Arabidopsis thaliana: one gene and its partners. The protein of the gene in region 1 interacts with the protein of each later gene in a pairwise test. Each region holds a gene or a part of one and is shown in the gene's direction. Other genes may lie near its edges. The genes, in order: MKK5, RACK1B_AT and RACK1C_AT.

Region 1 (6,714 bases):
TTAAGAAGAATCAAACAGAAAAGAAAAAAGAACTTGGCATACTGGAATATTAAATAATCAGAAAGAGTAAAAGTATATAAGGATATTGGATCCTCATGCCAATTGAACCAGAACTTGGAATGACAGCACCTTGCAAATTATGGTGAACATTTGTGGCACTATTGACATCCTGCAAGTCCAGATAGAAGAATTTAACAATATGCTAGAAGAATATTTTCTGTCACATATACACAGATGGTGAAGGTCTCAGAGTTAACCTCGAATTCAATAAAGCAAACTGTATGCCTTTCTTGTCTCAGAATCTTCATTTGTTTGAAACCAGGTTGCCTGCAAAATGAAAGTACAGTTTACCGCAGAATTCTTGAGAACACAGGTCTACAAAAAGGCCAAGATCTCAAGGAAAGCAATGGACAGGAGTCTCACTAAAGGGAACAGATACTCACGCACTCAACAGGCTCCTCAATTCTTCTTCGTTTATATTCTCCCCAAGATTACCAATAAATAGGGTATTGCAAGGTGGATTATCCTTAATATTCTGCAATTGAAAAAAATTTGAAAACAACATGAGACATATATCAGATCACCAAACCTAGGCTAGATATTCATCAAACTAGGTACAAAATTTATCAAACAATCAGAAACTTTAGCAAATTCAGAGCAGTAGACAATGCATTTAAATTAGGCAACAACTATTGTTCCACAACACAACCACCAGAGAGTATAGCATGTAAGCTAATTAGAATGAAGTTCGAGATTGTAATTTTTAGGCAAGGAGAGGCAAGTACAATATGGATTCCGGGTATATAATTGCACAACCACCATATGATAAATAAAATGATGAAAACAGTGCAACTTCACCTGGACAGGCACATAAGAACTAGGAGCTGCTATAGGTGGGGGCGTAGGCATTGGTACAGGGGGAGCATGATAACCTGCATAGGGATCATATGGTGGAGGTGCAGGTGCCATATATCTGAACCAATTTATCTTCTTGTCAAATAAGCAACTTAACATAAAACGGTGTACCAAATACACATCGTCCAATTTCTACACAGCATATGAAATATGAAGGAGAAGCAAATGCCTAACCCATGAGGAGGTCCCCACACAGGAGGAGGTGGAGGATGGAAAGGAGATGGACTATACACAGAGTGTGTGCAGTCACCACCAGTTCGTAGGCGCTTACTTTGATCATAAGCATTTGAATCCCCAACAATACCTACAGAATAAAGATTGAGTTCAAAGGTTATATATGGTTTGTGATATTAACAAAGGAAGTAAGAAACTAGATAAAGGGGAGAGTGTAGTGAGACCCCGTATAAATGCACAAAACTGTATCAAACATGCTTCAGTAACATGACTAATGCTTAAGATAGATAAAATACAGCCATTTTATGTCATAAAGGTAGAGCTAACCTCTTTTAACAAAAAGATTCTTCTTGGCCATCTCTGTATGTATCACAGACTTTGACTCAGCATCAAACACCATATGCTGCATGCCAAGAACAACATATGTCATAATGTGAAGACAAAAAAGGATCTGAGTCAACAATGATCAGAAGCAGACAGACCTGAAGGGTATCTTTGGCTGCCATTGCAAACTGAGCTGTGGAGAAAAGAGCAAACCCCATGGGCTTTTCTCCCTTGAAGTTCACCTGAGAAGCCTCGTAACCAGGCAACCATCTCAAGAGATTCAAAAGCTCTCTCTCTTTTACATCATCGGGAAGCCCTGCGATGAAGATTGTCCGCAGCTGAACAACAGATTCAAACTTGTGTAAGAGATCACGTTTTCCCAAAATCAGAAAACTCCAACTACATGACAAGATAAGAGAACCTTTCTCACTTATGCAACAGGTCATAAGTGAGATTTTAGTAACAAACTTAAAAATCATTCTTATCAAAAAGGTCATAACTTTGGACAATTTATCGATTCCGTAGCAAAATCAAGCTAACATTGTATATCAAAAAGCAGGCAAATTAAAACCTCAACGTAAACAAAAATCAAGCAAGCCCATCTCGACAACACAGCACAAGAATCACCGATATGTATAGAGAGAAAGAGAAAGAGTTGAACCTCGTCATAAGGAGGACGATTATGGTTGTCAACTAAAACAGGAGGAGGAGGAGGATGGTGATGAATGGGCGGCGGATGTGGTGGAGCAGCTGATGATACTGCGGCTGGAGGAGGCGGCGCACCTGCCGGCGGCCACTGCTGGTGGTATGGGTGGATTCCGGCGCCGGCCATGAGATAAAAAAAAAACCTAATTACTCAGAGAGTCAGAGATTGATTGTTCGAAAAAACTTCTGCGGAAGAATTGACGGCAAAGAAGGCAAACTTATTTTTTAAGTCACATGCATCGCACGTGAACACTGTACCACTTTAATTTTATTTCTTTCTTTTTCTGTTAAAAACTTTAAAAAGAAAATTAGTTTTTAATTTTTTTAGAATTATAATTACTTTAAGTTTTTCTTTTTTCAATTGTTTTTATTGGAAAGAAACTTTAATCTGTATTTTCTTACTTTCTAAAAATATTAAATACCTAACACCAAATTTATAGTATCTAAATCCACGATCTTAAACACTCTTAATGATATTATAATCCAATTCAGACCCGACCAAACAAAAAACATGGTTAACGTGTAACAACACAGAGCCACACAAGTGCGAGTGTATTCCACGCTCTTTCCATCAACGCGTACCTTCGTCTTACCATTTTAACTTTTTTTTTTTTTCTTGTTTCTTACAATCATTTTCACAAATCTCTTCGATGAAGCTTCATTCTCCTCTTGATTTGATCTCTTTGAAAAACGACGAATCAAACAAACCCTAGAGTCAAGTCAATCATGATGATAAATACAAACCTGGAAGATAAAGAATCAACCTTGTGAAAAAAAAAAAAAACTTTTGATTCCCTCTTCTTCTAAAAGCCATGAAACCGATTCAATCTCCTTCTGGAGTAGCTTCACCTATGAAGAACCGTTTACGCAAACGTCCTGACCTAAGCTTACCACTCCCACACCGCGACGTCGCTCTCGCCGTACCTCTCCCTCTCCCACCTCCTTCTTCCTCTTCATCCGCTCCGGCGTCTTCCTCCGCGATCTCAACCAACATCTCCGCCGCTAAAAGCTTATCCGAGCTAGAACGAGTGAACCGAATCGGAAGCGGAGCCGGAGGAACGGTTTACAAAGTAATCCACACTCCGACGTCACGTCCTTTCGCTCTCAAAGTGATTTACGGAAACCACGAAGATACCGTGAGACGTCAGATCTGTAGAGAGATCGAGATCTTAAGAAGTGTTGATCATCCAAACGTTGTGAAATGTCACGATATGTTTGATCATAACGGTGAGATCCAGGTTTTGCTTGAGTTTATGGATCAAGGATCTCTTGAAGGAGCTCATATATGGCAAGAACAGGAATTAGCTGATCTCTCTCGTCAGATTCTTAGTGGATTAGCTTATCTTCATCGTCGTCATATCGTTCATCGTGATATCAAACCTTCGAATCTTCTTATAAACTCAGCTAAAAATGTGAAAATTGCTGATTTTGGTGTGAGTAGGATCTTGGCACAAACAATGGATCCTTGTAATTCATCTGTTGGTACTATTGCTTATATGAGTCCTGAGAGGATTAATACTGATTTGAATCATGGTCGTTACGATGGTTATGCTGGAGATGTTTGGAGTTTAGGTGTTAGTATCTTGGAGTTTTACTTGGGGAGGTTTCCTTTTGCTGTGAGTAGACAAGGTGATTGGGCTAGTCTTATGTGTGCTATTTGTATGTCTCAGCCACCTGAAGCTCCGGCTACGGCGTCTCAGGAGTTTCGTCACTTTGTTTCTTGTTGTTTACAGAGTGATCCTCCTAAGAGATGGTCAGCTCAACAGCTTTTGCAGCATCCTTTCATACTTAAAGCTACCGGTGGTCCTAATCTCCGTCAAATGTTGCCGCCGCCTCGTCCTCTTCCTTCTGCCTCTTAGTGTTTCTACCATTTTCGTCTTTCTTGTTTTTCAATTTTTCGTAGTTTTTCCTGACATTTTTCCATAAGTTTTGCATACCCCAAGCAAAGATAATGAGAAGAGTAGAAGAACAATGTGGTTTGTGATTGGGGTATGAGTCGTCAGGAAGAAACTCAGTTTGTGGTTAGGGTTTATTGAGTCTTTATCTTATGCTGCTAAGCTTGATTTGTCTTATGGGTAATGAAGAATGTTTTGCTAGAAATGGAAACAAAAAAATAGACAAGAAGAATTCTTATGGTTTAAGAGTGATTTTAGCTGGATTTGCTTATATTATTGTTTATATAAGGAAGTAAATGGAGGATCTTTCATTGGATAATTCTCATTAATAAAGCTTCTTCCTTTAATTCTCTTTATGGTTTTCTAGTTTCCGTCTTGTGAACATTACAAAGGCTACCCTAGTGCCTACTGCGTTATTTTTTCTTTGCCAGTTATGGTCTAATTATTGCGGTAAAAGTTGAAAGCTTGTTTAGGAACTTTTGTTTGAACGAAATCATGTGATGCTCTTGCAATTGGTCAAATTCAGAAAGCTTTCATTTGGTTCCATCTTTGAGCATGCATCATGCATGTAAACATCAGCTATTCACCTTGTTTCTGCTTCTCGTTCTCTCTCTCTCTCTCTCTCTCTCTCTCCCAATGGTTTTGTGTTCAGTATCCGTCAAATTGCCTTGATGTTTTAGTGTGATTAGGAATGTAACTCTCAACTGTCCAGGTCAGATTCTAGGTTCTTCAGCATCTACTCAAAAAAGTCTACCTTATGGCTAGGAATCTAGCTCTCAAGTGTCCTATTGGTCTTGACTTCTAACCACATTAGACCTTTCCGCTGGGCGGCTGGGCCACGTCTTTCTCTGCAGGTTTGCTGAAGTTTGTGCTGATTGATTCACCTGAATACTTGAAGCATTCAGCTTGCAGAGGAGGATAACTTTGAGTGTGTGTCCCAGTACATAAGTCTACCCAGCGTAATCACTTCTCATTGTCGCTTTTGTGGGTATGTTTCTGTTCCTTAATTCTCTAAATTTATAATTCTTCTTAAGAAAATAGTGAAATGATGATTATAGGAAATGAATTTATGTTTCTGAGGGTAGCTTAGCTTTAGGTTTCCTAGATTTGTTGACTTTACATGATTGATCTCGTGAAAACCAAATCAAATACCAAATACTTGCTTCTTACTCCTTACTTCTTAGAGACTATAATGTTCGAATTTACACATACATTTGAAACTCTCTTGTGTCTATTTAGAGCACATGGTTTCCAATTTAGCTCGCAGATCCTTCCTCAGAATCTTGCCCGAAACTGCTTTTGGTATAACTTCTATGAAAAACACCATCTTAATCCGCTTGTAGTGAACCACCTATATAAACCATCACACCATTGATTTAAGACATAGACAGTTTTCCATCTTGTGTGTGTTTCGCATTGAAAAACCGAAAGCGAATTCGTACCTGTTTGTTTACGTAACTCTTGACATCATCTTCAGTTAACTGAGACCCTTGAGATCTTGCTACAAATGCTACTGGAACCTCATCAGCTACTTCATCCTTCATTCTGAAAATTCAAATATCATTAGAGACAACAACCATTTTAGTGTCTCAGTTTGGAAGTTTCAGATTTGTTTTGAACTCACGCAACAACTGCGGCATCATCGATAGAAGGATGAGAAATAAGCAATGCTTCAAGCTCAGCTGGAGCCACTTGGTAGCCTTTGAATTTGATCAGTTCCTTCAACCGATCAACAATGAAGATCTCATCATCATCATCCACAAACCCAATATCTCCTGTATGTAACCACCCGTCTTTGTCTATGGTTCGTGCAGTAGCTTCCGGATCATTCAAATAACCTAACAACATTGCACCATGTTTTCCCTATCAATGTTTATTCTCCCAAAGGAAAAAAAAGAAGGGACATAGCTTGATCGTTTGACCCTTTTTACCTTTCATGAGCTGATGACCTCGGACGCAGATCTCGCCAGATTTGTTGCGCGGCAAGGAGATTCCGGTTTCGGTATCGACCACTTTCATCTCGGCGTTTCTGATCACAGTCCCACATGCACCGGACTTGGTTTTAAATGGGTTCTTTGCAAACGCTAATGACTTAGCTACCGTTCCGGACTCGGTCATTCCATAACCCTGAAACAGAGTTTTGTTTTTTTAGTTTTAGTCAATACGAAAATGTAAAAACGACAACAGTCGAATATTGTCCAACATGATAATAACATCGCCAGTGACGAAGACATGAAACGGCATTCTGAAAACTGTAATTAAGTAAACGAGATATTAATGTATAACATGTGCTTTGTTGTTGTGGGTCGTGGTTGACGCTTAATTACTTTTATGATCCCACAATCTATCAATAAGTCAACACTTTTGTTGTTTCTTGTCAAATCAATAAGTCAAATAGTTATGAAATAATAAATGAACTAAAAGACTACTTGAAATTTTGGATGGGTGATTCGTATAAAGAGACACGTAATGAATGTTTACCCAATAAACTAAACTATGCAAAAACAAAAAATAATCATCACTTAGTACTGTTATAAACCTGTATATGGATCTTCTTAAATAATTAAAATGTGTGAATTCATTTCATAATCCAAAAAATAGATCATTATATAAAGATAAAAACAACACGGCAAAACCAACCTTAAAGACAAAGTGGAGAAGCTGTCCTCTAGGCAATGGGATTAAAGTGTTTTTGCAGACA
Region 2 (5,483 bases), on another chromosome or scaffold:
ATCTTAGCAGATAGACATTACTTACCTGATGAGTACTTCTCGAGTCTCAACCATGAGTTGATGAAACTTGGACACAGCTTCATCAGAAGAGTCACTTGTGGTTCTTGAAAGCTTTGTGTCTTGAGGCATCATTAAATAATCAACCCAGTGATGTGGGCTTCCAGTGCTCATAAACACATCTACAATCTGCATCACGGTTTCTTGAAGAACTCTTGTGGTAATTACATCCTTTAACTGCTTTCTGCAATTAAACACACAAAAACATATTAGAGTTTTTCCAACAATAGTCAAATTATAAACGATCTAGATACGAATTTTTGCAATGTACCCTTTAAGGACTTCCTCGGCTGAACCCTGCATATCTGAAATCAAACTTGGCATTGCATTGGTGACAAGAAAATCAGCACTCGACAAAAACTTCTGTTCATCATCTCTATCAATGAGATCTACCTCTTCCTGCAAACAAAAAGAAACAAATTTAATAGATACACTGTTGAAAGCTCACAGGGCAAGCAGATCACAGGACAAGCGGCCGTGGCTTTAAAAGGTAATCTGGAACTATATCAAAGAAAGATAGGTGATTCCAGAGTATTAGTCCACAGATAGGTCAAATGCATAATCGTTATCGCAATTAAACACAGCTACTAGAGACATAATTATACAAGTTCTTAACAGAACAACCAGTGAGTTTCCCCGAGAAATAGCTTGTTGGGGATGAGATAAGCAAAGTACACTGAATCATACTTGCGAGCAAATGAGAGCAGTAAAGAACATGTGCAGTATCGTTTAATAAACAGCAAATTCTCCAATACAGAGAAGAGGGGAAGCATATTATCTTACAAGTAAATGAGAGCTGCCAAGAGCTCGAGCGGTGTCAACATACAAATGTCTGCCTAAAATGTTGACTTGAACCCTAATGTATAAGCTAAGCATTGTCACAGACCACAGAGACAAAACCATCCTCGTGAAACCTGGCAAATAACATGAATATACAGGTAAGAAACAGAATTTGATAGAGTAAGAGTAGGTGACTGCAGTGCATACTCAAAATCTTGAGCTCATCCCAGAGCTGAAGTTTCTCAGGTGGACTCAGCATTCCTTTCCCTTGGTTCAGTCTGTCCATAACATGAGAGACATCGATCTCCTCGCTGATACGGATACTCAAAAACTGCATTGCGTGAGGCAGTGTGGTCGAATCCACAATCATCTGAATACTCTCGAAATGTGCTTTCATTCTAAACAAGAGTACAAACAAGACAGGTCCGTTAGAGAATCCATAAGAACTGAAGTCTAAAGGATCAGTTTTTATGAGCACAGAACTTAACTGGGTTTTGATGATTTCGTCATTTTCACGCTCGTGAGCGAGTTCTCGTTCCAAATCAGCAAGCCTACGAGTATGGGAATTGTATAGTTTGTAGAGTAAATACCCACTTCCCAAACAACCAGCCGTCACCAAGACCTTCCTTCTATGCTTCCTCCAAAAACCCCTAATTTATTCCACAAGGTATTGAATCAATTAAAAACCCTAACTTTATTCACCAAAAACCCTTCCTAAGGAATTGGAATTAGTGTGCTAGAGAGAGAGAGATAGAGAACGCAAAACACTAAATTTCGAATTTTCACGAAAACAGTAAGCAATTACAAAGAAAGATGAAGCGAACAAGAACCTAACGAAATCCATGGCTGGTGAAGCTTTTACTGAAGTCGAACCCAGAGATACATAGCTGAGAAAACACGTAGAAAGATGAAGATTCCCGAATTGATTCGTTCGGTTTGAAAAGGAGATAACTTTGCAGGCGAGAGAAAGAGATGGTTGATGTGATCGATTTCAATTTAATCAATCACTTCATCTTTTTCTTCTCCGGAATTCGGACATGTAAAATTATATCTTCCACAGGGACAGTCGAAGTTGTGTTCTTAGTTCTTACAATAAAAGTTGAAATGGCCAAACTCGGTTTGTTTACTTTAATTGAACCGACTTTTGAGTCTATTTCAATTTTTGACAATAACTTCTCGGTAGAGTTCTCATGGGGTTTGCCCAAAAGAGAGAAAAAAAAGTTGTCATGTCATGTACTCATGTGGTTATCAAATTGACTTGTAACAAGCTATACCAATTCTGGTTAAGCGTTCCAAACAGAAAGATATAAATCTCGGTTCCATAATTGTCCCAACATGAAACCAAGTTGGGTAGAATACCGGGCCTTAATGCTGGCCCAAATGAAGAGACCCAAACTATTGACAAATGAAAACAAAGAACCCTAATTATCTCTAACTATAAATACTCTCGGTTTCTCGTTACCTCCATTTTGCCCTCTCCCATTTTTGTCGCCGAAACCCTAAATCTCGACCTCAAACCCTGAACCATGGCTGAAGGACTCGTGTTGAAAGGCACAATGTGTGCCCACACTGATATGGTCACCGCCATTGCTACACCGGTCGATAACTCCGACGTGATTGTAACTTCGTCGCGTGACAAATCAATCATCCTCTGGAAACTCACAAAGGAAGACAAGTCATACGGTGTTGCTCAGCGGAGGATGACTGGTCACTCTCACTTCGTTCAAGACGTTGTTCTCTCCTCCGATGGACAATTCGCTCTCTCCGGATCTTGGGACGGTGAGCTTCGTCTCTGGGATCTCGCTACCGGAGAATCTACTCGTCGTTTCGTTGGTCACACGAAAGATGTTCTCTCTGTTGCTTTCTCTACCGATAACCGTCAGATCGTCTCTGCTTCTCGTGATCGTACGATTAAGCTTTGGAACACGCTTGGTGAGTGTAAGTATACCATCTCTGAAGCTGATGGTCACAAGGAATGGGTTAGTTGTGTTAGGTTTAGTCCTAATACTCTTGTGCCAACTATTGTATCTGCTTCTTGGGATAAAACTGTGAAGGTCTGGAATCTTCAGAATTGTAAGCTTAGGAACACTCTTGCTGGTCACTCTGGTTACTTGAACACTGTGGCTGTGTCACCTGATGGTTCGTTGTGTGCCAGTGGTGGCAAAGATGGTGTGATCTTGCTTTGGGATTTGGCTGAAGGGAAGAAGTTGTATTCTCTTGAAGCTGGCTCTATTATTCATTCACTTTGCTTCAGTCCCAATAGGTACTGGTTGTGTGCAGCAACAGAGAATAGCATTAGGATTTGGGATCTCGAGAGTAAGTCTGTTGTTGAGGATTTGAAGGTTGATCTTAAGGCTGAGGCTGAAAAGACTGATGGTTCTACTGGAATCGGAAACAAGACCAAGGTATCTATTTCTCCTCACTCTATCTTATGGTTAATTGTCTAGTTCTAAGTTCTGTGAATTAGTTAGCCGTTGCCTTAAAAGATGAGATTTTCATAAAGGAAGGTCTGAATACTCTCATGTGAAGTTAGTTCACAAGATTTGATTGGTACGTAAGAGAGTAGCTAACATTAGATTGAGAAACCTGGTTTTAAGTTAGCTCTAGTCTCTGATTTCTTAGATTGTAGTGTCTGAAGTGATTCCATATTGATTTGTTGGTTACTCTTTGGTCTGAGGTGGTTTATATATGTTCTAATGTGGAATGTAAAATGCAGGTGATCTACTGCACAAGCTTGAACTGGAGTGCAGATGGAAACACTTTGTTCAGTGGATACACTGATGGAGTTATCAGGGTTTGGGGTATTGGTCGTTACTAGAGAGACAAGAAGTTTCTTTATTCTCTCCAAATTTTTCCATCGACTCTAAAGTCTTCTCTTCTGAATTAGTGTTTTGAGGATTTATTTTTTGTTCTTTTCTATTTTCAGAATCCACAAATGTGATATTTTGATACATTGATTTTGTTTCATATTTGTTTTCTTACACTGAGTCTGAGTACACGGCGTAGAATCTGATTTGAAGTTGTTACTTGTATCCTCTAGAAAGTAGAAATGGCTTTAGGTTGATGACTAACTGTATAACAGCAAGAATTTTTTCTTAGGAATCTGAAAACTTCAAGGAGTTATTAGCCTTTACTTTTCCAGTGGTTACATCTTAACTACAACACGAACCCTTTCAAAAGAATCTCTAAACACCAATGCACCAACCAGTTTATCTTTTTGTACTTAATGATATTTGGTTTTCCATCTCTTACTCTACCAAAACTAAGAGTAGTCTAAAGTGTAGGCGACAAGGCCATATGTTATACGAATTCTCAGTTAACATGAACCGAATATAGCCCATATAGAATAGTTCTTGACCCAGACGCTTACCTCCATACGGCACAGAGTCTCTGATAAATGGGTCTTATTAGCATTAATTTTGTGTGTAGCCAAAGGTTGAAACTTGAGAACTTCTTCATGCTCAAAAACACCAAATGAGGTAAACCATGCACGAGTCAATAGTCAATAATCAAAAGTGCAATCAAGATTGTTTTCACTGCTTTTCCGAAGAAACCAAGACCCCCTATGACATGTTTCAGCATCATAAGCCGCTCAACAAAGCAATGCTTAATTGCTCTGTAAAATTTTTCATATTTCTTATCTTTTAGATATTCTACACCCAATACCCAAGTCCACGTATATAACAAGATCTTAATTAGGCTCCGTAGGCTTCGACAACATGTCCATTTTATATCATGCTTTTTTTTGTAGTCCAAATAAGCTAAGGTTGATCAAGAATGGAACATCAAACTACTAAAACTATAGATCGTTTAGCTCTGCATGATTTAGAGAAACCGCAGCAAAACTATTTCTATCGTCATTAGATGATATAATACAACCTTTTGCACTAATTTAGGCTTTGCAAATTTGAGAAAAAGAAATATAGACTTTATTATATTCTGTTTTGTTAACAAATTAGGCTAATCTACCTCATATTGGTTACTCGGATACTTTCTTCTCAAATGCGACAAGTCTCAACATGTTTCGATCAAATAGACGTGTTTCTATACTGCTTTGATGTTTTTTTATGTTCCCTGGTGCAGTTTCCTTGATTTGGACCGAACTTGGAACATAAGAGAAAACATGTCGCCTACGATATGGTTCTGCATGTTCTCCAAGATCCAATTCTCTAAAGTACCCCGCCTCGCCAATGATGTTGATTGTTTTGCGATTGTCATTAAACCCGATGGCGACTTTCTTTTCCTCGTTAATGAAGAAACTCGTGTGTATAATTGGCCCCGTATTTATTCTCAAGAACTTGCTCCACGACACCATTTCGGCCTCAAGCTTAGCTGTAATCCATATTTCAACTACATTTTTATAGTAGTGGTCCTTGTACTGAAATAAAACTGCAAGCTTCTCTTCACTAACACAAGATAAAATCACACATGAATGATGACGATCAATAAAGCTAAACGGCAAAGGCAAAAGCGGTCCAAATCTCTCTCTAGTAAAATCAAAACAAATAATGTGATCGCTATAACCGCCGCTCCTCTTCCTAGCACACCAGTATGTGTTTCCCTTGAGGGAAACACCACTTTGAGAAATAACTATAAACCAGTGTGGAGTGACATCAAGAGTTGTCCATAAATCCGAGTCAAAATCG
Region 3 (5,753 bases), 1.2 Mb from region 1:
ATTAAGGCACGAATCAAGAGCCTACAAGTAATCTGAAAAAATCATATATATACATAACATTTGAATCGAAAGCCAATTCGAATCTAAAGTTCTGGGAAAAAATCAAGCTGTGAAAATACGGAAATGGGGAAATCGGCGAGCGTTACCAGATGCGGTGCCTGTAGAGGTGACTGAAGAAATGGAACACTTGACGACGGAGAGCCTAACTCCTCCGCGACGGTTCAATGACGGCTGGATGAAGAAGCCCGTCGGCAAAACAAATTCCAGAGCTTTCGTAGCCGCCATTGTTGCCGTCTCTAAAAGCTTCCAAGGAGTCTCAGCCGTTATGTCTGTCAGTGAAGTAGTGAACAAATAGTTGTTCTTTATATTTTCTTATTACTTTTCATAAATAACAAAATAGCCCTTTACTTATTTTCGTATATTTAAATAAACCCCAATAGATATATATTTATACTAAAACCTCCCCGCGTTAATTAATTATGAGAAAAGCTTGGTAAAAACCCTATTTTTCTTCTTCTCTTCAATTTACAGTTCTCTGCACCTTTTTCTTTCCCCTGTTTTTTGATCCTCAATCACCAAACCCTAGCTTGTTCTTCTGTTGATTATTTCGAAAAGGGGGTTTGTTTGTTTTCTGGGAATCAGCAAAAATCACGAAATGGTTGGTTTAATATTTCAATCGGGATAAAATCGATCGAAAATGAGTCAGCCTTCTGTGATTCTTGCTACGGCTAGCTATGATCACACCATCCGATTCTGGGAAGCCGAAACTGGTCGCTGTTACCGTACCATTCAGTATCCTGATTCGGTTTGTTTCTCTCTCTCTCTCCCTTGATTTTGTGAATTCTGAGTAATTAATAAAACTGAGACAAATTAATGTTTGTAATTGCAGCATGTAAATAGGCTTGAGATAACCCCAGATAAGCATTATCTAGCTGCAGCTTGCAATCCTCATATTCGACTCTTTGATGTCAATTCCAATAGTCCTCAACCTGTAAAACTCCTCTCTTTTTTTCTCAATGTGGTGTTTGCTTCCTTCTACCTGCTTGAGTGATCTTGATGGAGTCGTCGTGTGTATTAGGTGATGACTTACGATTCACACACCAACAATGTTATGGCAGTAGGATTTCAATGTGATGCAAAATGGATGTATTCAGGATCAGAAGATGGCACAGTTAAGATCTGGGACTTAAGGTATATCATGTCATCTTCATCTTTAGCTAAAAGTTTATAGATTTATTCAAGTGTGGATTCTGGGAAAGGATAAGGAGATATTGAATATAAAGTTACGAAAAATACTAAGAACGTTCTAAATTGTATTCTTGTTGACTCGTAAACCAAAATGCAGGGCTCCGGGTTGCCAAAAGGAGTATGAAAGTGTTGCAGCGGTTAATACAGTTGTTTTACACCCAAATCAGGTACATGAAGTCATCTGTTATTGTTGTGCTGTGGGAATCAGCTTCGTTTTATGTTTAAGAGAGTTGTTGTATTGCTACTGTTGAAACTGCTGTGATTTTGGTAGTTGTCTCAGCTGTTATTATGAACTATTTCCTTAGTCTTTATTATGAACTTTGTTTTTTTTTTTTGTACAGACTGAATTGATATCTGGAGACCAAAATGGAAATATACGTGTATGGGATCTCAGAGCAAATTCGTGTAGCTGTGAACTGGTAATTGCCTTTGACACGTCTTCATTTCATTTCTGAAAATCCGTAGATAATCACTTGAGGTTAACTATAGGTACCAGAAGTTGATACAGCTGTACGGTCTTTAACTGTTATGTGGGATGGGACAATGGTAGTCGCTGCTAACAACCGTGGAACATGTTATGTATGGCGCTTGTTGCGTGGAAAACAGGTAGTGTTCCTGATATGCAAACCTTTCTTTTGTTTAACCATGTTGTAGTCGCATTACTCTAATTGTCCATGCCATTTAAAAATTCAAAATCTTTTACAGACAATGACAGAGTTTGAGCCCCTTCATAAGCTGCAAGCTCATAATGGCCACATCCTTAAATGTCTCCTCTCTCCTGCAAACAAGTAACATGTTTCTTATACTTTCTCTTTTAACCGTTTTCTTCATCCTCTCCTTTTCGAAGCTCTTACATATTTGTTAGCAGATATCTAGCGACTGCATCATCTGATAAAACTGTCAAAATATGGAACGTCGATGGTTTTAAACTAGAGAAAGTTTTAACAGGTATGTTCTCCATGTTACTGTCAACAGCATTCATTCTCCATTATCGTCTCTTACACTATCATCAAATCTTATATAACAGGACATCAAAGATGGGTTTGGGACTGCGTCTTCTCAGTGGATGGAGAATTTCTTGTAACAGGTACTAATCTCTGTCTTAACTTAAACCACTGAAAAACATATCAGAACAATCTTTAAACGGGTTTCTATGATGTTGTACAGCATCATCGGACATGACGGCTAGATTGTGGTCGATGCCAGCAGGCAAAGAAGTGAAAGTGTACCAAGGTCATCACAAAGCCACTGTGTGCTGTGCACTTCACGATTAAAACCTTAATAAGAATCAAAGCTAAATTATGAACAAACTACGATTGTGTTATTTGTGTTTTAGTAAACTCTTGTACATTTCAATCGAATTCGTTCAAATTGCTCTTATGTTCCCTCTCTGATCAAACATTTCTCAACTATATCACAACAAAAATGCTCCAACAAAATTTATTTCAGAAGAGGCCCATTTATACCTGACTCGGAAACTCCGGCCCAAATGAGCCAGTCTCCTCGCAGAAACCACACTAAACCCTAATTTGATTCATTTTTAGACCTAGAGTATAAATACCAAACATTTCAATCGACCTCGTAATCTCTCGCTCTGTTACGCCATTTTCGTGAGTAAGAAGAAGAAACCCGAAAACCTCAAACCATGGCCGAGGGACTCGTATTGAAGGGCATTATGCGCGCCCACACCGACATTGTCACGGCCATCGCTACGCCGATCGACAATTCCGACATCATCGTCACAGCGTCGCGTGACAAATCCATCATCCTCTGGAAACTCACAAAGGACGATAAGTCTTACGGTGTTGCTCAGCGTAGGCTCACAGGTCACTCTCACTTCGTGGAAGATGTTGTTCTCTCATCGGACGGTCAGTTTGCACTCTCCGGAAGCTGGGACGGTGAGCTCCGTCTCTGGGATCTTGCCACGGGAGAAACAACTCGTCGATTCGTTGGTCATACGAAAGATGTGCTCTCTGTTGCATTCTCTACTGATAACCGGCAGATCGTGTCTGCTTCTCGTGATCGTACGATTAAGCTTTGGAACACACTTGGTGAGTGTAAGTATACCATCTCTGAAGGTGATGGTCACAAGGAATGGGTTAGTTGTGTTAGGTTTAGTCCTAATACTCTTGTACCAACTATTGTATCTGCTTCTTGGGATAAAACTGTGAAAGTTTGGAATCTCCAGAACTGTAAGCTGAGGAACTCTCTTGTTGGTCACTCTGGTTACCTCAACACTGTTGCTGTCTCGCCTGATGGTTCGCTATGCGCCAGTGGTGGGAAAGATGGTGTTATCTTGTTGTGGGATTTGGCTGAAGGAAAGAAGCTTTACTCGCTTGAGGCGGGTTCGATTATTCACTCGCTTTGCTTCAGTCCTAACAGATACTGGTTGTGTGCTGCTACTGAGAATAGCATTAGGATTTGGGATCTTGAGAGCAAGTCTGTTGTTGAGGACTTGAAGGTTGATCTCAAGTCTGAGGCAGAGAAGAATGAAGGTGGTGTTGGAACTGGTAACCAGAAGAAGGTACGTCATTATCTTATGATTTCACTATAGTAATTGGTTCTCTATTGATAGGTTAGTGAATGCACCAAAAGTAGTGATGAAATTATCTTTGGTTATGACAAAAAAAAAGTGAAATTTTGGTTAGAAATTGCATGTAGGAAATCTTTTCCCTTACCCATTAGCTTTGAAACTAGGAATTTTATTCTTTAAATGTTGCTCTGCTCCAAAGGTTTTGACTTTGATGTTAACATATAGGAAGAGATTGATAATGGTATCTAATGGGAATGTGTAATGAAAATGCAGGTTATCTACTGCACAAGCTTGAACTGGAGTGCAGATGGAAGCACATTGTTCAGTGGTTACACTGATGGAGTTGTCAGGGTCTGGGGTATTGGTCGTTACTAGAGACACAACAAGATGAAGAAGAAGTCACGAAATCTCCGGAAAAAAGTTTAGCTGCTTTTAATTTTTCCAGACTGCGTCAGTATTGTATTAGTCTCTCGCAAACCTCTATTTTGGCAATTTTTGTTTAATTTCCAGAAGAGAAAAAAACAATCCATTGATTATCATATCACTATATATCAAAAGGTCACGATTTTGATTACACTTACCTTCGTGATCTTCCGATTGGTCTTATTGAGGTTCAATCTTCACAATTCATCCCTATAATATATCACTCTTATCTCTTTCACCGGCCACATTACAAGCCTATTAGATTTCTAAAGCCCATGATTGGCCCAATTCAGTTAGGGTGGGTTTCTTTGTCTTCAAATTTGTAACCACCGGAAGCAGAGGAGAGTATCTTCTGAAGCATTAACCTAACTTATTTATGATCCTTGAGATGATGATGGCCAATCTTCCAAGGGATTTAGTGAACCTTGTTACGGATACGTACAGTATGAACTCTACTACCTCAAGTCCTCAACTCCTCTAAACCACGGATGAATATTACTATCCCTAACATTAACTCTGCGAACTGGGAGATACAGTTTTCTGCACGTGGCGTGTCTCTCAAGGGAAATACTCAACAAAAGCATCTCCCTGAGTTCTTACTCTGTTATGATTTTACAAGAGAGATATTTGGACCCCCTCTAAGTCTACCGTTTCACTCTTTTAATGAAGATACTGTGACTCTATCTAGTGTTAGAGATGAGCAACTTACAGTGTTATTTGAGAGAGATGATACATTACAGATGGAGATATGGATTACGACTAAGATTGAGCCCGAAACAGCGTCGTGGAGCAAGTTGTTCTTAGCGGTGGGTATGGAACCACTAACTGGTTTGCAGTTTCAGGTTGCCGCTGGGAATTTCTTTGTTGACGAGGAGAAGAAAGTTGTCGTGTTTTTGGATAAAGACACAGAGACGCGGGAGCGCTACATAGCCTTTATCACCCACGTATCTGTTCTTATGTTCCAAGTCTAGCGCAAATCAAATGGCCACAACTTTAAGCTGAGGAACTCTCTCAACATTGTCGCTGCTTTTAGTTTATCCAATTTTTCCAAACTGGCTCTCATGTAAATCTTGTATTTTGTCAAATTTTGTTTAATTATCATCATACACTCTATCAAAAGGTCACGGATTTTGGTTGCATTTTATATTCTTCATCTTTAAAATTGGTCTTATAACGCAACTTTCGTCTCGCTTCATAAAATCCTTGTCACAGTTAAAAACAGCAAGGTGTTTGTTGGTAAAAATCTTAGACGGCAAGGAGTTTGTTTCTCACTTTCTCAGGAACCTTAAAAGATCACTCTTCTCTTTCACTCGCTTCTCATCTTTTAACGGTACAACGAAATTTATGAAGCTGAGAGAAGAAGACATTAATGGCGGTTTCTGCAGGGGCTTTAGCTTTTCCTGCTTTATCCGTTCGCGCCACTCTTAATCCTGAGATTAAAGATGAACAAGCGAACATCAGCAGCACTACTTCTTCTTCCCAGAAATTCACTTACAGTCGAGCTTCTCCCGCCGTCCGATGGCCACATTTGAATCTCCGTGAGATTTAT

What was found.
Region 2: the proteins of MKK5 (region 1) and RACK1B_AT come close enough for resonance energy transfer, tested with the Arabidopsis thaliana proteins (one study listed by BioGRID).
Region 3: the proteins of MKK5 (region 1) and RACK1C_AT come close enough for resonance energy transfer, tested with the Arabidopsis thaliana proteins (one study listed by BioGRID).

The regions. Positions count from the first base shown.
Region 1 is NC_003074.8:7,442,987-7,449,700, forward strand, and holds MKK5 (MAP kinase kinase 5), read left to right. Parts: upstream 1-2,617; 5' UTR 2,618-2,930; coding exon 2,931-3,977; 3' UTR 3,978-5,001; intron 5,002-5,053; downstream 5,054-6,714. Other genes in the region: AT3G21215 (RNA-binding (RRM/RBD/RNP motifs) family protein), read right to left, coding at 87-169, 258-327, 444-535, 859-973, 1,090-1,219, 1,417-1,492, 1,572-1,751, 2,075-2,245; 4CL5 (4-coumarate:CoA ligase 5), read right to left, coding at 5,245-5,364, 5,456-5,558, 5,638-5,851, 5,945-6,140. UniProt on the Arabidopsis thaliana protein: Mitogen-activated protein kinase kinase (MAPKK) which regulates abscisic acid (ABA) responses in a MAPKKK20-MKK5-MPK6 cascade involved in root growth (e.g. root cell division and elongation) and stomatal response, probably via MAPK6 activation by protein phosphorylation.
Region 2 is NC_003070.9:17,980,149-17,985,631, reverse strand, and holds RACK1B_AT (receptor for activated C kinase 1B), read left to right. Parts: upstream 1-2,254; 5' UTR 2,255-2,363; coding exon 2,364-3,242; intron 3,243-3,553; coding exon 3,554-3,655; 3' UTR 3,656-3,996; downstream 3,997-5,483. Other genes in the region: PEX3 (peroxin 3), read right to left, coding at 26-241, 329-456, 522-558, 663-733, 841-971, 1,045-1,235, 1,326-1,487, 1,668-1,681.
Region 3 is NC_003074.8:6,209,512-6,215,264, reverse strand, and holds RACK1C_AT (receptor for activated C kinase 1C), read left to right. Parts: upstream 1-2,713; 5' UTR 2,714-2,893; coding exon 2,894-3,772; intron 3,773-4,054; coding exon 4,055-4,156; 3' UTR 4,157-4,387; downstream 4,388-5,753. Other genes in the region: LST8-1 (Transducin/WD40 repeat-like superfamily protein), read left to right, coding at 698-805, 890-991, 1,079-1,191, 1,346-1,415, 1,590-1,667, 1,738-1,854, 1,954-2,036, 2,117-2,196 and 2 more; AT3G18120 (F-box associated ubiquitination effector family protein), read left to right, coding at 4,693-5,175; EMB1270 (Pentatricopeptide repeat (PPR) superfamily protein), read left to right, coding at 5,574-5,753. UniProt on the Arabidopsis thaliana protein: Minor component of the RACK1 regulatory proteins that play a role in multiple signal transduction pathways. Involved in multiple hormone responses and developmental processes.